2 linked regions of the Caenorhabditis elegans genome follow. The protein of the gene in region 2 interacts with the protein of the main gene of each other region in a pairwise test. Each region holds a gene or a part of one and is shown on either strand. Other genes may lie near its edges. The genes, in order: asna-1 and spig-9.

What was found.
Region 1: the proteins of spig-9 (region 2) and asna-1 interact in a two-hybrid assay, tested with the Caenorhabditis elegans proteins (one large-scale study listed by BioGRID).

The regions. Positions count from the first base shown.
Region 1 is NC_003281.10:8,893,493-8,897,401, reverse strand, and holds asna-1 (ATPase asna-1), read right to left. Parts: upstream 2,321-3,909; 5' UTR 2,314-2,320; coding exon 1,880-2,313; intron 1,832-1,879; coding exon 1,573-1,831; intron 1,365-1,572; coding exon 1,155-1,364; intron 1,027-1,154; coding exon 901-1,026; 3' UTR 748-900; downstream 1-747. Other genes in the region: ZK637.4 (uncharacterized protein), read right to left, coding at 2,746-2,842, 2,898-2,951, 3,001-3,068, 3,121-3,189; lnkn-1 (Protein linkin), read right to left, coding at 3,527-3,658. UniProt on the Caenorhabditis elegans protein: ATPase required for the post-translational delivery of tail-anchored (TA) proteins to the endoplasmic reticulum. Recognizes and selectively binds the transmembrane domain of TA proteins in the cytosol.
Region 2 is NC_003283.11:13,610,572-13,613,754, forward strand, and holds spig-9 (Minor capsid protein), read right to left. Parts: upstream 1,315-3,183; 5' UTR 1,294-1,314; coding exon 1,224-1,293; intron 1,178-1,223; coding exon 993-1,177; intron 936-992; coding exon 846-935; 3' UTR 766-845; downstream 1-765. Other genes in the region: F53F4.7 (Nucleotide-diphospho-sugar transferase domain-containing protein), read right to left, coding at 1,868-2,198, 2,326-2,493, 2,548-2,762, 3,028-3,183.

The sequences.
Region 1 (3,909 bases), on a different chromosome or scaffold from region 2:
ATTGAGAAAAAGATTAGTAGAATAGGAAATATATTTGGAATATATTTGGAATAGATTTGGAATATATTTGGAATATATTTTAAATATATTTGGAATATATTTGAAATATATTTCGAATATATTTGGAATTGATTTGGAATATATTTGAACTAATATCAGATTAAGACTGAATATTTGACAACTCATGTTTATTGTATAAATTCAAATTTCAAAACTGCAGAGAATGGGATATTGCACGTGGCTATTTGGTAATTTGAATGCAGAAAAAATTCCAAGGAATATGAAGTGGACCAAGGAAAATAAATTGGAAATAGCAACTTGAACATTAGGAAACGGGGCTAAGTGAATTGAAAATGAAATCACATGAAAAATAATACGAAGGTAAAATTACTCCAAAATCATTGTATCTCCAACTGCCATCCCCTCCATGGAGGCTCCATGGCCCTCCATTCTCAGGATCCATAAGTCTGGTTAAAAACAAGCTCGTAAACTAGAGATTTTAACAAGTTGTGTGAAAATTGAATTCTCTGAATCTAGGTAAGTGTCGGATGAAGTCTAGCAGTCGGAAAAATGTACTGCTTGGTCCCATGACCTGTCGGCTGCCTAATACTAGGTACTATTTGAAAGAAATTACGTCTAAAATCTAGCTAATTAAAATGATTACTTGACAAAAATAGTTTGCCAGGCTGAAGTTTGAAAGATAATTATGTTCCAAATATACTTCAATCCTAAGTAAAAAACAATGAATATCATAAATTATTCATTTGATTCGAAAAAGGCACCCACAATAAAGCGAGAAATAAGGGGACAGGGAATTTTGGAGAAAAAACATGGGATAGGAAGAATCTTTTAACATAAAAAACCACAGAACAAGTTGATTTTGTAGGAGAACAAATTAGTTTAGTTTTTGTTAGCTTCAGGATCCACCATCCGTTCGCTGAACTGAAGAATTGCGGGCCCTCCACGCACTTCTGCCTCAAGAAGTGGAAGTTTGACGACGTGGAAATCCTCGTAGAGCTCATCGATCTGGAAAAATTGATTTATTCCGCATCTAGCAAATCACGACAGAGTCAAAAATGCACTGTGGTTATTCAATATTAATTTGCTCAAAGTTTCTAATTTAATAATTTATCAAACTTCTCATTTAAACTCACATCTGTCAAGTATTTCGACTGAATCGCCTGTCTCGATGCACATTTTCTGCATGAAACTGTTCCATTTGCATCGGTATCCGGAAAGAGAAGTTGATTCACAATAATATTATGAGTATCGATTCCTTGTTTGGACAACTCCTGAATAAGTCGTTCGGTTTCGTAAAGAGAGAGGAATTCGGCAATGCAGACGCAGACGAATGTGGTGCAATTCTGTAAATACATATTTGAATGCTCTGCAGAAACTTTGATGATTTAAAATCTCTGAATTCAATATATATCAAGCTAGAATTTACCCTTGATATAATTGAAAAGGTTAAAAAAACATATTACCAAGATGCAGAATTTTACGACAATTTTCGCGTCTGGGTGATATATCTCCGTAGTAATTTTAAATATCACTTGAATCTGAAAAACTAACAGGATCCTTAAACTGTGCGTTCATCTTTTTCACAGATTCTAGAGTCGTTGTCATCTTTTCAATCATTTCATTCATTGATCCACCTCCCATTCCAAACATTCCACCGAATTGATTCATCATTGGTCCAAACATTCCTTGAAGTGACAGAATTTTCGTAAATACTTTTTCCAAAAGTGTTGGGAATTGAAGAAGACGAAGAGTGTGCCCAGTTGGAGCGGTGTCAAAGACCACAACGTCGAAGTCAAGAGAGTCTATCAACCTGAAAAAAATAATAGATTTTTTAAAAATCAGAATCATTGACACTCACTTTATCATTTCCCCGAAACTCATTGCCTCATCAATCCCAGGAAGTCCTCCAGCAAAACTTTGAAGAAAATCTTTTCCCATCGAGAATCCACCGCTTCCACCTTCGTTTTGTGCAGCATTTTGCAGCATTTCTTCGATATTCCCCATTTCGACGCCTTCTCCGTTCGGATTTGAATCGATTTCCATTGCAAAGAGATTTTTGAAACCTTCGACCAGTGTTGGAGTTTTTGTGAATTTCTGACTGAAGGCATCAGAAATGTTGTGGGCGGGATCGGTGGAGATGAGAAGAACTCTCTCACGAACTTTTGAGAGTTGAGCTGCCAATGAGCAACTGCATGTCGTCTTTCCGACACCTCCCTTTCCACCCACAAAAATCCATTTTAGCGTTTTTTGTTCGAGAATATTCTTGATAGAGGCTTCCAGCTGATCCGACATTATTTCTGAAAAAAAAAGAAGTTTTAGGTTTATTTGCATTTAAAGTTTGAAATTTTAAAAAGAAATGTCTAGCCTTTTGCAGTTTTTTTAATTTTTCAAGTAAAAATGGATACAAATTTTTATTGTTTTTCTACAGTGTTTTCTCGACTTGATAGGAGTTAAGTTCTTTAATAAATAACTTTTTTGATTCGATTATGAAAATTCCGAAAGTGTTTATTACAGTACTCCAAAGGCGCACAACTTTCTGCATTTAACAAAATTTTCTCGGGGCGAGACCCAGGTTACAAAACCTCAACATTTTATGTCTGGGTAATATTTTTTTTTGGAGAACTGAAGAAATAATAATAAGGTAATAGAAAACCATTAGAACACGGATAAAACTTGAAAAAAATGAAATAATTTCTAAAACTTTATTAAATAAAAATCGAAAAATCATTCGGACGGTTGTTTCTGTGAAATGTGAATTAGACGATCATCGATATGAACTGGTTCGGAGCTCGGAGTCACTTGCACACCACTGGCCTTCAATCTGAAAAAAATGAATGTGGGTTCCATGTCATTGCAACGATTTTCCGATGTAATACCTCAATTTTCGATTGTCCCAAAGGCAATCCGGCATCGGGTAAGACAGAAGATACCTGAAAATATTGAGTTTTTTATGAGAATTTTCCATAAAATGAAACTTACAGTTTCAATGGCGCAATGTAATAATCCAAAAACTCCAGAATTCGCTCTTTCAGACTGTTGTTTGGAACCTGAAATTGGAAACTTTTTGTTAAAGTTAACAAAAATTTGAAGAAAACTCACATATTTCGGCGAATATTTGCTCTGCCGCTCCACGTCATTCATTAGAAAATATTTTGGATTTGACTTCATTAGGAAAAAATTCAAAAAGTTTTATTTTAATAGTTCGTCAAAAAAACGAAAAAGTCTCTGTTCAGTTTATAAAGAGAGTGATGGAGGGTAAGGGGTCACGTGGAATAAATATTACAGTTGTTTTCAAATAATGTTTCTATTTTCAAACAAGGAAAACTCGGATTTAAAGCTGATCTCTAAAAATACTCCGACGTGCAATCACAGCTCGAAATGGGAAATCTAAACACAGGATGAAGCTTCAAAAGGTCAAATATGCAAAAAAAGAGACAAATGATGGGAACCCGTAAAAAACGATCTCGTCTTCAAGAAGATATGATCTTAAAATTCACAAAAAAATCTACATGGCATCGAAATGGAATCGATGAGATTGTTGTTGTCGTTCGTATCGATCTTCCTTTTTCTCTCGATAATGTAAGAATACGACAACCATTAGAAGCATACAGCATACGAGAGCAATGACGGCAAGACTCTGGAAAATGAGAATATCGATTTATTATAGAGACGTGGAAATGTGCCCCATGGCCAACTGACTACGCTCCGCCCCCGAGCCATGGGTCTCGTTAGTTATTTGGCAGCAAACCCGTGAATTCAACGAATTCGTATTTGCAACCATTTTGAAATGTTTTTCGTTAGTTTTAATGATTTTTATGCCGAAATTATGTTTAAAGAATGCATTAAAAATGAAAAGTTTTTTTCTTTTATTTTTTAATTTTATTTTAT
Region 2 (3,183 bases):
TTTGCGTTTTACGGCATTTCTGGTTGGTTTTTCTTAATTTTTCAAAGAATAAATAAAGGAAAGCGTATCAGTGTTGCTGGAAAACGCTTAAAATGTTAAAAACTACATCTCTTTGTGCGGAAATTTGAAAATAATGCAGCTCTTTTTTTTGGAAATTGAAAAGATCATTAAAAATCTAGAAAAATTCGACGAATTTTTTACAGTTATATTTGGTATATTGGGACCAAGGGTGTCAATGTCCCGTAAAAATTACAAAAACGGGACAACGGATGTCCCGTTCCCGCGAAAACACCCAAAAAACGGGACAACGGGACAAACGGGACACGGGACTTGACACCCTTGATTGGGACTGTTTTCTCTCATTTATAGCAAAAAAACCACAGAATTTGACCGACAAACTTAAGATTAGCAGGTATAAAACACACTGTCGATATATTCAAAAACTAAAAACTTGAAAAATTCTTTCCTTTTCTGTAGTCTTAATGAAAAAGTTTCATGTTAAAAACTTAAATCCAGAACACTGAAATCTTTCTTGCAAAGCAGGGAAAGTGAAAGTCCATTATTTCACTTGCTCGTTCAAAACTAAAGCTTTGTTATCTCATCTTTGATTTTCAGATTTTTGAAGCTTTGAGGATTGATTCTGGAAGATTTAGCTTTCAAAGATCAATCATATTTTGTGGTCTGGCTTCTGGCTGCCAACTGAACAGGACAACATTAGTTTCAGCCTTGGAAAATTTGGAAGTTCAAAATTTAGTTCACACAACTGAAGAATAACACTTTACTCAAAAATAAAAATTACGAACAATCATAGATTGTAATACAGACGATACTTGAGTTTTAGAAAATTATTCGGAATCAGATTCAACTTGAATGGAAATCTCGTCTGGTTGACCGAATTCAGCTGCCTTGCTTTCAACGAAGGCCTTGTAGGCTTGCTGAAATTAATGGGTACTTATACTCCTGGGAGACAAACATTTGAACTAAATACTAACCTGATCATTAGCTGGTGCTTGTTTGATAGCTGCATCAGTCTCAGAAATGATTTCTTGGAAAATAGTTTTTCCTGATTTCTCAGAAATTTCTCCATCGTTGTTGTGGCTGGCTGTGATGTCTACAAGCTTGTTAGCGGTTTCCTGGGAAATTCCAGCATCGAGCAACTCTTGCAGATAATTGTTTTCTAAAGAACTATCAATTAAAATCGAAAATTAAATTAGTAACTTTACCATTCTCGTTGAGGGCAATAACGGAAACAGCGAGAATTGCTACAAAAAGAGATGTCCAGATAGAGTTCATGTTGAAATGATTTAAATCGTCAAATGAGGAATCTACCTGTTATTTTATACTAACGGATTAACTGGTACATGGAAACTGCCGGATTATCGTATGAAAAATGATCATTGTTCGATCGATATGGTTATGTAGGCGGATTTACAGAGAGATGAACTTTGGTGTTAATTGGGAGAGACTAACCAGGGGAACAAAAGTAATAGGTTTTGATTTGTTGGACATTCCTAGAGGGCATTTGATTTATAAAAAATTTAGTGAAATGTTCGAATAATAGAAGACATATGAGAACTTTTGTATATTTCAGACATCAATCCTTCATTGAATAACAGTATCTTCAAGTAATTTTTTAAGATAACCTTTTGGGAATAAATACACAAAAAAAACTGCACATTGAATGTGTAAGTACCAATAATGTTTTTTCTTGCGATTTTTCTCAATTGACTTTTTTCTGTTTTTTTTTAAATTAATGAATTATATTTTATTAAATTTAGCAAGCACGGTTTGCGATAGTATGTTACTTTTGGCATTTCTGGCGATCACAAAAGTTGCCATAAAAACGTTCAAAAAACTTTATTAAAAATCAGAAAAACTGTAAATAAAGCGACGTGAGTCCTCCATAAATGCTGGAATAATGTCCGAAAACTGGAATTTGATTGAGAAATTCTCCGAGTTTCAAATAAAATTGTTCGCGATTCTTTGATTGCGTCATAATCCGTGGCACAGTTCCATCAACCATATGTTGAACTCCTTTTGAAACTTTATCTGCTTTACATCTGTCATTTTTATCCAAAAACCAGAAATTATATTTTTCAAGCACTTTCTCCTTATTTCCACCAGTTTCTCCGTCCATTTGAATCATGATCGGTGGGTTTTTCTGGTCTCCGTAAATCCATTCCCATCCCGTTACCAGACTGAAAATAACAGTTTTGATGAGCTTAGAAGATCGATTTAAAATTTAAGATGCCTTGGATAAATTTTAAGTTAAATTGAATTTAAAAATATGAAACCTTGAATCATCAACTTTTTTGGTAGCCATACCTGTATGGAACATAATCACATGAATAATCTCCACGGAGACAAAACATTTTAACAAGATCTGGGTCAGTAATATACACACTTTTCTGCCAAAATAACCATGATTCTACTAAAGACTGACTGGAAGATTTTGAGGGAATATAGAAGTTTGCACCGTTCATTGTTCTTTTTCTGAAATTATCCAATCAATCGTTTCAATCATATTTAACAACTGTATTTTATTACCGAATATCAGCGGTTCCTTCGAATCCTTGTTGATCAAGAAGAATATCACTATTCTCATATTTACTCACATCGACCAAGTTAAGAAAATTATCACGCCAAACTGTATCAGCCTGAAGCATCCAAAACGGTTTTCCAAGTTTTTGAAGTGCATGAATCATATTGGTTCTCATTAGGAAAAAGCTCATGTATGTTATGTCATATGGGCGGAATGTTTTCTGAAAATAATCACGTGATGAAAATTAATGTTTTTTGTTTGAAAAAATATTTCAGATGGAAGCTAAGGATTTTAAGTTTTAAGTATCAACATTATACAATACTTTTTTAAAAACCTACAAAAAAAGGAAATTAGTTGCGCTAGAGAACCCTAGACAATTTCAGAATAAAAATTTCAGAATATTTAATTGTATTATTTTCAAAATGTTCTCTTGTTTTAATCAAACTCCACAAACAAACAACTCCGCCTTTAAATTCAAAACTCACTTGAAGTACTGGTGCCAACCAGATGACAATATTCAATCTTGGATACACTTTTCGAAGACTTTCTTCCGAAAACTTATCCATAACTAAGAATAGCATTTTCTGGTGAACACCCACAAAACTTTTTGTATTGCACAACCAATTCAAAGTCATTTTTAC